3 linked regions of the Drosophila melanogaster genome follow. The protein of the gene in region 3 interacts with the protein of the main gene of each other region in a pairwise test. Each region holds a gene or a part of one and is shown on either strand. Other genes may lie near its edges.

Region 1 (4,737 bases), on a different chromosome or scaffold from region 3:
TTCATGAGGAGTTTTATCTGTTAAACTATAATTTTAAAAATAAGTCAGAATGAAAAAATTCACACTCGCGCATAAACTTAACAAATCAAATTCACAAACAGTCCTGCGCATAATCGCAGTGTGACGTGCGTTAGGCAACACTAAACAGATTGCAGCTTTGAAAAATCAGTCAAAATCAGGTAAATTCTGCTAAAATGCACCAGTAAACGCACAAAAATCACAGACAAAAAAAAAGAAAAGATGGAATCCTTATCGAAGGACCCTTCCTCGGAAGGCGAACTGCCCGAGGACGAAGGCAAAACGGACTCGGAACCCAGCAAAATATCGCGACTGTTGCGAACGGAATTCGATGCCAAATACCAGATCGTAAACCTGCAGACTCCTCTCAATGCCTTTATGTCGGGCCATTACAAGCAGAGCTTTGCCTTCTTCACACTCCGGAGTCGGCTGCCCGTGATCCTGACCAACGTGATAGATACGCTGACACGGGACAAATCCGAGCTGGTAGCCCAATTCGGTTGGTTAATCCCTGCAAGCGTTTTTTGGCATCTCCATTAACTTTTTCTTCTTCCAGCCTCAAATGAATTTTCACAGGCTGCCCGCGAGGAGCTAAAGATCATTATTGGATTGATCTCCAGGCTAAAGTACGAGCTGCAAACGGACAAATCGTTTCAAAACTTTACTGGCGAAGGTTAGTTCCTAGCTTCATAGAATTCTCATGAGGATTATAAGCCTTGTTTTCTTAGAACCCGATCGAGATGTTTGGAACAACTTTATCAGCAACCTGCCCGATGGCGAACGCAGCTTCTACAAAGCCAGCTCCCTCCATGCCGAGTGCTATCTGCACCGCAAACTCCACTCCTTTCTGGAAAACAGCGTATTTCTGAAGTCATACGATTTCTTTGCCAAAGTCAAGGAGCAGGCGCTAACGGATAGCATTGATGATATACTGGCCCTGACCAAGTACACACGACGATCAGAGAACAGCGTGGAGGTGTTCGACGAGCTTCTGAGGATCAACATGTGGAGCAACTGCAATGATGTGGCGACCGACACGGATACAGTAAAGCAATCGAACCGCCAGGTGCTGGAGAAAGTGGCAAACACCGATGAGCGCGTACTGGTTAACCAGGCAGCGGAGATTTGGAGGTGCTTGGAAAACCCTAAACTGAAGAAGCATAAGCAGGTGGACTTTATACTGGACAATGCAGGCTACGAACTCTTTAGCGACTTTATACTGGCTGAGTTCATGATTGAGAAGGGACTGGCCGACAAGGTGCGGTTCCATGTGAAGGCCCACCCTTGGTTTGTCACCGATGTGACGGAGCGGGACTTCAAGTGGACGCTGGAGTACTTGAGTGAGCATGCGGACTACATTATAAGTCTGATAGGAAAGAAGTTCCTACAATTCATCGATGAGGGAAAGTTCGAACTGGCGCCAATCTCGCATTTCTGGACATCACCACATTCGTTTTACAGGTTCGCATTCCGGATATGACTGCATATTCAGTGCCTCCTAATTACATCTTTGACTATTGCAGCATGGCGCAAATGGATCCAGATTTGTATAGTTCCCTGCAGCTATCCAAGCTGGTGGTCTTCAAGGGAGAGCTCAACTATCGCAAGCTGCTGCAGGACGTCTGCTGGGACCCCACCCAGGAACTCAGCACCTGCCTCCGTGGCTTCCTTCCCAGCAACATTTGTGTGCTGCGGCGGGTCAAGAGCGAAGTTATCTCCGGCCTGCCCGAGGGCGTTGGCCAGGCGCTGAGTGTGAAGGATCCGCGCTGGATGGTCTCGGGCAGTTATGGGGTCATTCAGTTCGTTGACGGAGCTCGTGAATTTGGCTATTAATCTTGTACAGGCTGGTCAGCTTAAATTATTGGTAATAAATAGTCGTTACATATCTAGAAGCCAAAGACGTCTTAAATATATACATATATGTACCTTTTTTGCTATGAAACAATAAAAAACTTGAAACATAAGTAACAAATTTTGAAAATTCAAAAAGTATCGCCTTGTAAATTATCGGTTCCAATTTCGGTATTTTCCATCACCGCCAAAGCGGTCACACTACGCGCCACTTTATCAATTTATAAACTTTCCGCAGCAGTACAATTCGGCTGGAGCAACAAACAGATCCTCGAAATGGGCAGCGAAACGGATTTTGACGCAAAGAATGGAATCGTGGACGGACCAACCCCGCCCCACACCGAGCTGGCGGCCCTCTATAAGCAGTGAGTAGGGCTAAATATAGCGCCTACTATAGATGGTGTCTAAATGGCCCGCGCATATGTAACAAATACGCCGACCCATCGTTACCCACACATCCAAGCTGTGGAATTGAATTATGATTATTACTTAAAAGTCATTTATTGCAGGAGCTTTGCCTACTACACCTTCCGTGTGCGTCTGCCTTCGACCTTGGCCACCATCGCGGATTCCCTAGTCAAGGACAAGGACGTCCTCCTGGCCACATATGGCGCGGTGGGTAGTTGTGTGCACTTCTACCTTGACCTTGAGCTTAAACCTTTGATATCAAATTGCATTCCAGGCAGCGGAAGCCGATATTGAACAAACTACAAAGGAGGTTAGACAGCTGCGGGATGACATCCTGAGCAACGGTCCTTTACTGCCCTTTGGTGAAAATGGTAGGTATTTGGGTGCTCATTGGGTTGGCAATCATATAAGTGTACTGTTTTAATTTCTTTTAATAGCATTGAACTCATAATTGATTGCGTTTTATATATTATTATTTCATTTACCCTGCGCAAAATGAATTTCTTTGATAAGAATAACGAATCTGTGCCTTTCAGATTCCGACTCTGAAGTGTGGAATGCATTCCTGGAAAAACTGCCCAAGGAGAAGAGAACCTACTTTTCCGTCTGCTGGCTGTACGCCGAGTGTTATATGTACCGCAAAATCTCATCTATTTTCCGGGCCACAGCCCATCTGGCCGCCTACGACTACTTCAGCCAGCAGAAACAGACGGCGACCAAACTGAGCGTGGACGCCATGCTGGCGGTGGCCAAGGCTACGCGGCACAATGAACGAAACTCGGACACCTTCCGCCAGTTGATCAAACTCAATTTGTGGGGCAACCGATGCGATCTGTCCATAACCTCCGGCAAACAGGTGAAGCCCACTGGCAATGCCTTTGACCAAGTTACGGATTTGGAGGAGAAGCTACTAATCGACGGCACCGCGGAGGTATGGAAAGCCCTGGACGGAGCCTCCGGAGAGGGCATTGTGGACATCATTTTCGACAACGCCGGCTATGAGCTGTACACGGATCTCATTCTGGCTGAGTACATTATCGACAAGGGATTGGCTGCCAAGGTGCGCTTCAATCCCAAGGCCATTCCTTGGTTCATTTCGGACGTGATGGAGCACGACTTCCACTGGGCACTTCAATTTCTGGCCGACCATCCGGATCCTGTGCTGAGTGAGGTCGGAAAAAAATGGCAGCGTTTGACGACCGAGGGCAAGTTCGAGCTTTCGCCACTGGAACACTTTTGGACGAGTCCCTACGAGTTCTATCGCATGCCAGAGGTAAATCCCTCACTCTACGACCGCCTGAAGGAGGCGCAACTGGTTATCTTCAAGGGTGACCTCAACTATCGCAAGTTGTTAGGCGACTTCTCCTGGGACAGCACGGAGTCCTTCGAAACTTGCTTGAGGGGTGAGTCTATCTTGACAGTAATTCTTCCAGTACTTACACGTTTTATATCCCTGTTAAGGCTTTCGTCCTTCCAATCTCTGCACTCTGCGCACAATTAAAGCGGATCTGATCTGCGGATTGGGTGCAGGCGTGGCGGACCAACTGTTTGCCAAGGATAAGGAGTGGATGTTGACTGGCGAGTATGGCGTAATACAGTTTGCCAGCAAGTAGAGAAAGAAGGAAATCAGGACAAGGAACAGCAAACTAGTTGAATTGTTTTAGTCGTTATAAGCTTAGCTTAATTGTTGAAATTCAGAGTGACCTATGCGAGATCCAAAACGAAATTATACTCAATTTAATCATTAACACTTCAACTATGACTAATTTAGTTTTTATAAAATGTTTTTAAACACATTTAAAACGTTTGCATTGCCTTTAGCAATTTAGTTGTACTCCAAAGCCTTTGGCATTGCTTAGTAAGCACAGACACTCACTCATATGAACGTCAGTTGTCCTATTAGGGCTATTAAAGTTTAGGAAAATATTAATTTGGAATCGAAATATTTTCCTGGCAAAGAGGGCTTCGAAATTCTACGTTTTAGGCGAAATGCATAGTGCTGACTTAACTAGCCACACCGATGTGACGGAAACCACCAATCTTGCCGCCATTGAGCAGTTGAAGGAACAGCGATTCAACGAGAAGAATCTGATCATATACAATCCGCCTGGAGAGAATGACGAACTTTCCGCCAGATTCCTGCGCAGCCTAGCTTTTGCCACCTTCAAGCGAAGATCGCCCGCATTTTTGAGGGATTTGATCACATTCCTACAGGATCGTGAGGCGGATATAATTGAACAGTGCGGGGACTATGCCCATTTCGATTTGAAGCGCACCATCTGGAGCCTGGAGCTGCTGCGCGATGATATAATCAACAACAGGGAGTTCCAGATAATTCGCGTCAAGTCGCCGGACACTGACAGCTGGAACTCGTTCCTCAAGGGTCTTGGAGAGGACAGAAGGCAGTGGTTTTCGGCAATTTGGCTGCATGCGGATTGCTACATGTACCGCCGCATTTGG
Region 2 (4,278 bases), on a different chromosome or scaffold from region 3:
TTTTATTGCTGCCGCTGGGCAATTCTACGTTCTTTGGGCCAATTACAGAGAAGAACGGCTTGAAAAAATCCGAGATGGGATCGAAGAAGTTGACCTGGTGCTGTAATAGTTATAAACTGTTATATTTTTAAAGATTTTATAAATAATTTTTTTTTTTATTAACGGGACGAAAATTGGTTTTAATCATATAAATCATAAATGATTTACATACAGGATAAAAGACTATCTTTATTGTATGAAAACAAATTATTTGAGTAATAGGTATCTGATAGTAGAGGATCTAGCCTTTATCATTTGGCTGATGATTACCCCTAAGTTAACTAACCGCAGCCCATTCCTTGCTGTCTAAGACCGAAGATGAGATCGTGAATGGGTAAAACGTCAGTCTTTGGCTGAATTCGATCAATGAAACTGAAAAAAGTCAATATATACATACTTTTCGAAAAGAATTAGGGATATCCATTTTTGGAGCAGTCTCATTGCTGTCGGCGAAAAAAAGTTCAAGAATTTTTTTTATCAATAAAAAACGACAGTAAGAGCTATAAGTTTCTCGACTATCTAGCTAGTGTGAGTACCAGAAAGAATATTGTTTTTAAATACCAATGGAAATAATCAAGAATAATAAAATAAACCTTTTCCAAAATTGTAGTATTAATAGTGGGAGCTCTGCCCCCCGAACCCTTCACCACGGATACAGCACCCTGGAAGATCTCGACGTTATGGCTGCGAGCAAAGATAAAATAAGCAAAATAAAATTGAAAATGTTAAAAAAGTTTTTTTCTTCTGGGTGTGTGCTTGGTCTCCAAACCTTAACCTCCATCCGCATTCCCAGGCCCTACCCGAAATAAAAACCTAATTTCGCTTTCCTCGGAACGATAATAATAAAGCCAAGCTTTCCGAACGTTTGGCGCACTAGGATTGCCCGATTCCTAGAAAACCGAATATGTATGTTTAAATCGCGGCACAAAGACAGGGTCCAATAATGCCCCACAATCCGCTCCGATCGCAAATGGGATGTGGAGGGCCACACACGTCGATCGCCCAGGAGCGCTGGGAATAAAGAAGACAAAGACGACAGGGCGGCAAGAAAAACAAATAATTGCTAATTTTATGCTCGAATAAATGAGCGCGAGTGAGCAGCAGAAGAAGGATCAAAAAATGGGCGCCCCACCATTCGGGCGGCATAAATTAGTGCGAGCGAGACGGCTGCCCAGAGACGTCACGCACTATCAAACGAGAAAATGATCAATGGGGAACCTATCCACATGCATCGCACTCGCTCGCACTTGAGATCAAAAGGGGGGAGAGAGCAGGCCGGCTAATATGGACCACCCAAGAAGATGACGTCGAATTAAGGGCCACCCACGAAGAGACACGTCGTTGCTCTCTTTCTCGTTGCTGCATGTGTGTTGGTGAGCGAGATGGTACAGTGAGAAAAAAAAGTATCAATTTTGAGCAATGGAAGATGGGATTTATATTAGAAGAGGGTTTAAGGTATTTTAATGGGAATACTATATATACAAGATTTTTTCAATGCTAAGTCACAGGAACAGTATATATATTCTGGACCAGGATCCTTACCCTTACCTAGGTCGATCCGGCCATGTCCGTCTTTCCCTTCGCCTGTATATCAGTTATATCAGCTAATGAGATGGGAGTAAGCAGCTAGATTCCAATACCAAAAATTATTCGAATCGCTCTATAGATCGGATATAAATTATAGGTAACTTGTAGGGCATTAGTATTCTAAGTAATGTCGACGCCATTAGATGGAGCTCGTGTAAAATCTGTAAAATAGTCGCTATGCTGCTGAAACAGCCACTTACTATATATGTTTAACGATATGTCTTTTAAAAGTTGTAACTCAAACGATGATTTAAAATGTATGATATTAAATATTAGAAATAAGTTAAATAGCCAAGTTTTGAACCCATGTAAACATCGATTGAGTGGTTTAAGTGTGCGCTGAAAACCTTAGCTCTTTTTCAAACCACACAGTTTAAAAGTGTGCAATTCATGCACACTCCACTTATTAATTAAAAGTTGCTGGCCAAGAAATCATTTGTTCAGTTACTACATTTTTAAAAGCACAATTGTTAAATTAATTAATGATAACCGGTTCTTCCTGAGATATGCTGCCATCCGCACTCTGGTCACACTGACAGGGCCTCTTGTTCCAGCGTGGTTGTGCAAAAAACTTCGTTTGAACTTTATTTCTACATTTAAGTTATTAAATTCCCGTATCCCGCCCGAAGATGCCACCCAAAAAGGCGCCACCAGGTCCCAGCAAGAAGACGGAGCAGAAAAAGAAGGAGAAAGTCATTGAGGTAGGCTTCGTAACCGGAAAGCCGATGGGTGAGCCCCCCTCTTTGTAAATCCGTGATGTGGAAACCCGGCAGGGAGAAATTCAATAAGATCCACATTGAACTGACCAAGTGTAATTCCATCGGCAGGACAAAACCTTCGGGCTGAAGAACAAGAAGGGCAACAAGCAGCAGAAGTTCATCCAGCAGGTGCAGAAGCAGGTCCAGTCCGGCGGACAGCATCCTCGCCAGGATGGCGACAAGCGCAAGGAGGAGAAGGAGAAGAAGCTGGCCGAACAGCGCGAGATGGCGCTGATCTTCAAGCCGGTACAGACTCAGAAGGTGGAGAAGGGCACCGATCCCAAGTCGGTGGTCTGCGCCTTCTTCAAACAGGGCACCTGCACCAAGGGCGACAAGTGCAAGTTCTCCCACGATCTTTCCCAGGAGAACAAGGTCGAAAAGCGGTCCATTTATGTGGACATGCGCGACGAGGACGATCCGATGACCAACTGGGACGATGCCAAGCTGAAGGAGGTGGTCGAGAAGAAGAGCTCCGGCGAAAAGCAACGTCCCACCACGGATATTGTGGGTCTAAGTTTAAAAAACTGCTTAAAACTCAAAACTAACCTCCCCTGTGTTTCAGATTTGCAAATTCTTCCTGGAAGCTGTGGAAAAATCAAAGTACGGCTGGTTCTGGGAGTGCCCCAACGGCGGAAAGTGCATCTACCGTCACGCCTTGCCAGCTGGATATGTGCTGAAGCGCGATAAGAAGAAGGAGGAAAAGCCCACGGAAATCTCGCTGGTCGATTTAATTGAGAAGGAGCGCGCTGCCCTCGGTCCCAACCAGACACGCGTCACCCTCGAGTCCTTCCTCGCCTGGAAGAAGCGCAAGATTGCCGAGAAGAAGGCCAAGCTGGCTGCCGAGGAAGAGCGCAAGAAGAGTGACTTCAGCAAGGGCAAACAGTTCGGCATCTCTGGTCGCGAAATGTTCAGCTTCAATCCGGATCTGGTCGACGACGGACCCATGGAGGAGGGCGACGCTGCTTTCGACGTCTACAACAGGGAGGACGACGACGATAATGCCGTCGAGTTCAAGGAACTGGATCTGGCTGCCCTGTCGCTGGCCGCCAAGGAGGTGGACGGCTCGGGCACCATTGCCTCCACCAATCGACTACTGGACCAGGCAACCGAAGCAGCCAAAACCGCCGCAGCCGAGGACGCAGCGGCCGACGAGGATGGCCCATCGTCGTCTGCACCCGCCAACGATGCTGCCCCCATCAACAAGGATCTCTTTGTTGATCTGGCCGGCGAACTGGATGACCTAGATCTGGACGATGAGGACGATGACTAGTCCTCCGCGTAGTTTGTTTGAAATGAGTTTGAAATTGATTTCTGCCTTTTAGCTACCCTTCAATCAATAAAGTTGTGGCTCTTAATTGTTGCATTTCTGGAAATGAAACGTATGCGTTTACAAGCAAGTTTTCTCTATTTACTGAATGAATACACGTCCCATTACTACAATAATCACTTTTGTTTATAAAAATACACACACTTAACAAAACTAACTAAATCATCGCATGCCTACCAAAATCCTGGAGGCAAAACTCCGACAGCCTGTGCAATCTGCCGCTCACGCAGGAACTTGGCCAGGAGCATTTCCAGCCGTGTCTTCGGACCACCTTCGTCGTAGGCTGCCAGCTGAGGCATGTAGATATTCTGAATGTAGACCAGCAGCTTGACGAACTGCTTGCCGTAGGTGCGCCACAACTCGAAGCCGAGGGTCTGGAGAATCTCCATGATCAAGGTAGCACTAATATCGGGCAATGGTTTCACATGCACCATGTGCGCTAGCCAGAGCCATCCCTCATTCAGCTCGAAGCATTCATCCGGTCCAGCTGCCTTTCGCCCTTGACTAATGATCACAGCTGCGTAGAGCCGAGCGAGTCCCGTTTGACGCTTAAGGTAAATGTCCGGT
Region 3 (6,097 bases):
TTTTCCAGAAGAGGGGCGTGAGAACTGTTGAGTAGGGAAACCATTGCTGGTAATCCTCCAGCCTGACGCAGTTGCTCCCTATTGCTTTGAAATCTCACACATTCAGATATAGCTCCGGTCACGTTGGTCAGGACCTCGTCACACTCATCATTTAGCAAGGCCACCAGGTGGTTCACCGTCCTGAGTTGATCCAGCACTTTGACATTTGCATCGGTTACGGCACACATCCAAATCGCTCCAGTGGCGCCTCTCAATAAAGGCTTATTTTCCCTCACATTCTTGTCCTTTATGATAGTTACCAAAGGTTCCAAGCCCCCAGCCTCCCTCACCAAATCCCTGGTGGTTCCGTCGAAGGCGCACTTGTAGATCGCTGTACTGCCCTCCATCTTCAGCTCGGTATTTTCGGAACTCAGATGGCTCACAATGTCGGGAATCATGCCCTCGGTGGTGATGGCCAGTTGGAACTTCGGCTCCGAGGAGCACTTTCGAACGGTGCCCATTATGGGAATGACGACATCGATGTGACAGGACTTAAGGAGCTGAGCCATCAAAGGAACAATTCCGCTCTTGCGCATCTGCTCCATGTTGTGCTTGGAATCGGCCAGAGTGAAAAGAGCCCGGGCTCCAGCGCGTGTCATATCGAGAGATTCCAGATCATCTGGACTCAATTGGTCACGAGGCGTCTTTAGAATGCTATAATATAATTAGGTTTTTTTTTAATTATTTCTTATATGTGGTGATGTAGTATGAAGCACTTTATCCAATGCCAACTCACCTCAACTTGATGTCGATGAGATCCACCAGCTTGGGGATTCCTCCGCAGGTGCGCACATACTTTCTGGCCAGTCGCACCTTGCACACATTGGCCAATGTCTCGGCGGCCATGGTTTTTAGGTCCTTCATGGAAGAGTTTAGGATGTCCACAATGAGGGGAATGCCATCCAGATCTACGATGGTCTTCCTAATATCGATGTTCAGTGTGATATCTGAGAGAACTTTGAGGGCGCCCAAACAGCACTTGGTGTCGCTGCACTCCAGGATGTTAACCAAGACATCGAGTCCGCCGATGTCCGAGATGGCGAACTGATTGATCTGGGTGCTCAGATCGTAGTCCTTCAAGCAGCACAACGATACTATAGTGGCTGTCTGATTGCCCGCCTTGATGTATTTCACCAGTTTTTGGATATTATAATAGTCAGCCGGAATCTCAGCGGCTCGCGCCACTTCCTTCCAGCGTTCCTCCTCATCCGTAGACGATTCCACCTCCGTGGTATCCGAGTCCTCGGCGGCCACCTGGCGCTTATCCTTTGAGAATCTGTTGGGACAGGATCCGCACTGTTCTTTCTTCTTTCGACTCCGATTGTGGGACGTTCCGCTGCTAGTGCCAATCATCCTTTCGCGTTGGATTACTCACAGATTTGGCCAATCGTATTCCGGAAATATCTGTCGGTATGCCAGCTTTCTTCAGTTTTGTATCGGAATTTATTGTGTTTTTGTGTGGGAGAACTTTATTAGGCCAGGCAATTGATTTAATAAGGCGTGTTGCTAAGGTAACTGAGATAATTTCAAAAATACCGGGCTAGGGCAAAGGTATCTTAGCTCAAACTTGTAAGTTTTTTTTTATTTTAATAAATTTTTAACTACAGCTATCCAAGGCATTTAAAATTTATTTTATTCGCTTGGCCTTCGTTGAATTCGCTTAGCGGTTAAAATTAACCGTTTAGCAAATACATCGACCTGACTTAGCACAGACAATAACCATTCATAGTGCAGACGACCACCGCGAAATTTACCCGTTTCCGAAACTATCGAGGGTATCGCAGGGAAATCGACTGCCATTCCATCACCAGCTTGTGTTGTTTGTTTTTTATTTTCAATTAAAATCCGCGATCATCCGCAGCTGCAGCTGCATTGTTTGTTTACCAGCCGTCGTAGCACCAGCCAACTGAATTTCGTGTCCTGAGATGGGAAATGCGAGTGGCAAGCGGGAGACGGATAATCTCTACAATTCGGAAGAGCTACGCATGCTGGAATCCGCGTACAAAAACGCCTCTGGCGGAGCACTTGAGAAGTTGACCCAAGACAGATTGGTGGTAAGTCAAGTAAATCCAGTTACCGTGCCACGTGTGCACTGCGAAAATCAATGGCAACTGCATTCTGCATTTGCGGAAGGGTCAGGGTCACAAGTTCAAGGACGCGCGGAGTGAACTTTCTTCGGCAAAAAAAGAGAAATCGGGACTTTCGAGTGCATGACAAACGGCCGTCCATCCACCTGCTGCGATGGCCACCCTTCACTTGAATGGGTATATCCTTTAGGGCATTAATTTGTTGTTGTCACTAACTCCTATTTCGAGGATTAAACATTGAAGTTAATCATAGTACTATGTTCCGAAAAAGAAGCTTAGTTATATAAGAGAGTGAGTCGCAACATTATCCGGCATTATACAAAAGTTCAAAGTTTCTAAACCTTATTTTAATACAGTTCTTTTTCGATTTAAAGTGCAAACCAGGAAATTTAACAGAGTTTATAAAAAGTAAATTATTCAACTTGTTTAAAAATGTAATTTTCTAAACTAGTCAGTCCTATTTAGATTAAATGTACACGTAACTTTCCAAAATTGTTATTTTAACCCATTTAGTTAAATCAATCTGATCATACACAATTTATGCTATAATTTTTCCGATGCGGGTTCAAGGCCCCAGATTTGTGTTTTATTTTTATCACAGCACAGATGACGGAAATGCAACCACTCAAAAAATGTTTGTTTGTAACCAGATGATGATTTTTCCTTATAATATTTCCATCTATTTATAGCTCGTGTTTGATTATCACAGCGCTTCCTAGGGTATAGCAAAATTCGATATCTTCAACTCGGGCGTTATCAGTTTCGAATTGATAATTCCTGGGCCAGTGCGAACGTGTCCATAATTTGTCTAATTTGTTTGCTGCCGCATTTCACTGTTTGTCTTTTGCTTTGTTGAATTTGCTTGCTAACGAATTAGTCGTGATTTCAATGACTGGGGTCGTCAATTAGGGCCAAACCCAATTGAATTAAAAATAAACCATATGCTTAACCCGTTTACAGCATGGCATGTGAAATAGTTGATTTTTAGAATGAGGAAATTATAAGACTTGCATTCATATAGAGTAATTTAAGCGGAAACTCTCTAAATTGAAACTTTACATACATTGAAGTAGTATTTATTTTCATAAAACTTGAGAGACTTTGTTTTCAGTCAAACCAAATTATTATTCATTGTACGTCCTTCAATGGGTTAATCTGTGTCAGCGCTTCCCAGACCTTCGTTCCCTGCAAGAATTTGCTGACAGCAGCGGGAAAATTATGTTTACGTATCCGGCGCGCATTTTGTTTATGTACACACATATACATGTATCTGTTGTTTTGTTTCGAAAATAGGAAACTTGGTCGCAAACCATCGAAAGATCCCTGGCCGAAAGTACGGCTCAGTATCTATTTACGCCCACGAAGCCAGGTCAGCAATGTGTCAACCTTCAGCTGAAGAAATTTGGAGAGCCCTACTACATCATGGAACGCGGTACTATTGACCAGAAAATGCAAATGCTCCTGGGCTCAATGGAGAGAAGTGGAAATGACACCTTCAACAGCAAGCAATTGGAGCAAGTGAGTCTATAAATAAGTAGTCATTGTCATCAGATCGCGGAAATAATATTTATAACTTCTGTCAGCCGAGCCTCATTAGGATTCATAACATGTTTGTTATTGAATTAGGTTTAGCTCTCCATTTATGTTTATCCTGAAAACTAGATTTCCACGTTTATTTTCTTAGCTGTCATATGAACAACTTGTTTATTTAATTCTTTTATCTTTTGCTCGCGAATTAATCAATTTTATAATTCCCCAGTATATCTACTCGGTGATCAAGAGCTACGTGCACTTGGAAAGTACAGCGAAAAACTCTGGCATCAAGGAGTGGCACGATCTTGGCTTTAACACCACGGAAAGGTCCGCCGCCACATTTGCCAAGGGCCTTATGAGAAATCTGGGCAAGGAGCTAGAGCACACTATGCCCAACGATGCCCTGGAACGTTGGTTACACGTCACTCCGCAGTTTTTGCAGATTTGGCGCGAGGTCTTTAGCCAGCTGTATTGTCGCCATGGTGGCAGCAAACGCAACATAATCAAGGAAATGGAAATTCCAATTCTGCCAGCACTGTGTGGTAGGACAAAGAAAATTTTTAAATTTATTAAAATCGTTTATAACTTTTTTCCTATTTTCCAGATGCTCCGCAAAATAGTCATTATCGCCCTATCATCGAACTACCTCACGTCCTGTATATCAATGCTCAGCTGCCCCGCGAACATCGGCACAAATGGCGCTTTCTATTCTCATCGAAAATCAACGGGGAAAGCTTCTCGACGATGTTGGGAAAAGTGCTGGACAAAGGACCAACGCTGTTCTTTATTGAGGACGAGGATCAATATATATTTGGCGGCTACGCGTCCGAAACGTGGTCCGTGAAACCGCAATTTGGAGGCGATGACAGCTCATTGCTCTACACCTTAAGCCCTGCCATGCGGTGCTTTTCGGCCACAACTTATAACAATCACTATCAGTATTTGAATTTGAATCAGCAGACTATGCCGAATGGCCTGGTGAGTAATGTTTATAGCTAATTGATTGATTGCTTTGCTAAATGTTTATATTTTTCGTATACAGGGCATGGGCGGTCAGTTTGATTTTTGGGGCCTTTGGATTGACTGCAGTTTCGGCGATGGACAAAGCGTTGAAAGTTGCACTACATATCGAGACTACGTGCAGTTGAGGTGAGTGTAAATTAAAATCTTGATTATGTTTCACCTTACAGACCACTAGATTCTATATTTTAATTCAACATTATTTTAAACAATTGTGGTTAATCTACCAATTATTTATCGTACCCAAGTAAACGGAAACAGTTCAAAATACGAAACATGGAAGTTTGGGCCGTAGGAGACTTACCAGTTAAAGAAGAAGACGAAGAAGGCGACGGTCACGTATGTCAAATTAAACTCAATATTATATTAAATAAATAATCATATCTTTAACCCATAGAAACGTTCTGTGCTGGATGGCAATTTGGAAGATCGGGCCATGTTGGAAATTGCGGGCAAGAAAATGCACTCGGATGGATTGCGTGAGCCCAACATGGATGATTGATATTATGTGAAACTATTTAAGGAAAAAGTTTTGTTTTATCATCGAGAATTTGTGAGACCATGCCCGATATGGGTGTGCAGTTAATGATTCAATTCAGTTTCCTTAGCTTTTTTGCAATCCCTATCGAACACACAAAAAAAGTCCTGCGAACAAAAGAGTATTTGTTCAATCCATTCCTATAAACGTTTTTGTTTAGGTATTAATGTTTATATATACAATGTATAATGGATATAGTTTATGAAATACTGAGAGTATTGTTGTTGCGTTTTAGATCTTAAAGTGAGAAAAGTAAATCATTTAAATGATGTAACAAAGAAGCAAGCATAATAAGCAATGTTAATTCGTCGAATTTTTCCCATTTTTATCCTACGTCAATAAAATGCAAATTAATTGCTGAATTTATATCAATGTCTTTAAAGTTAAATGTTTGAGTATGCCAAGGTAGCATTTACCTACAAATAACCTAAATAATTAAGTGGTTTATAGAGATAGAAAAATGAAATGCGGTAAGAAAAAAGTGAAAATTTAAATAACGATTTATCCCAAGACATTTTATTTATTCCATTGTGTGAAACGTTTTTGAGAAAGTGATGAAGAAAACTTCAATCATTATTTTGGAATTTTAGGTGGGTTTTAGCTAAATTGTCTTATGGTTTGCATAACAATTAATTTTAATATTTTTACTCTTAATCACTAGTTTTAGATATCGACGGCATAGCCTGAAAGAGTGATTCCAGGTGCAATCTCCTCTTCTACATAGGATCCTGCCTCCTCGAAGGATCTAGCATTGCTATCTTCGAAGCTGCGACCCACGCTGGCTGGAGATTGTCTCAAGGTCGGAGCCCTCTGCTGCTGGCCAAACTTCCTAGACACACCATAGTTTCCCGATGATGAATTATAGCCCTCATCGTCTTGG

Evidence for each region. Proteins that work in one complex are often made in the same cells at the same time.
Region 1: the proteins of CG5149 (region 3) and CG11474 interact in a two-hybrid assay, tested with the Drosophila melanogaster proteins (one large-scale study listed by BioGRID).
Region 2: the proteins of CG5149 (region 3) and CG8635 interact in a two-hybrid assay, tested with the Drosophila melanogaster proteins (one large-scale study listed by BioGRID).

The regions. Positions count from the first base shown.
Region 1 is NT_033778.4:22,070,709-22,075,445, reverse strand, and holds CG11474 (uncharacterized protein), read left to right. Parts: upstream 1-2,002; 5' UTR 2,003-2,145; coding exon 2,146-2,234; intron 2,235-2,378; coding exon 2,379-2,484; intron 2,485-2,551; coding exon 2,552-2,648; intron 2,649-2,813; coding exon 2,814-3,680; intron 3,681-3,738; coding exon 3,739-3,890; 3' UTR 3,891-4,212; downstream 4,213-4,737. Other genes in the region: CG2921 (uncharacterized protein), read left to right, coding at 241-517, 575-691, 747-1,479, 1,542-1,851; CG11475 (uncharacterized protein), read left to right, coding at 4,267-4,737.
Region 2 is NT_033778.4:8,629,682-8,633,959, reverse strand, and holds CG8635 (uncharacterized protein), read left to right. Parts: upstream 1-1,997; 5' UTR 1,998-2,255; coding exon 2,256-2,327; intron 2,328-2,453; coding exon 2,454-2,888; intron 2,889-2,946; coding exon 2,947-3,654; 3' UTR 3,655-3,753; downstream 3,754-4,278. Other genes in the region: Gle1 RNA export mediator, read right to left, coding at 3,885-4,278.
Region 3 is NT_033779.5:7,383,971-7,390,067, reverse strand, and holds CG5149 (uncharacterized protein), read left to right. Parts: upstream 1-1,814; 5' UTR 1,815-1,964; coding exon 1,965-2,093; intron 2,094-3,419; coding exon 3,420-3,644; intron 3,645-3,885; coding exon 3,886-4,201; intron 4,202-4,263; coding exon 4,264-4,637; intron 4,638-4,701; coding exon 4,702-4,808; intron 4,809-4,927; coding exon 4,928-5,018; intron 5,019-5,076; coding exon 5,077-5,181; 3' UTR 5,182-5,582; downstream 5,583-6,097. Other genes in the region: gudu, read right to left, coding at 1-693, 776-1,392; ninaC (neither inactivation nor afterpotential C), read right to left, coding at 5,881-6,097.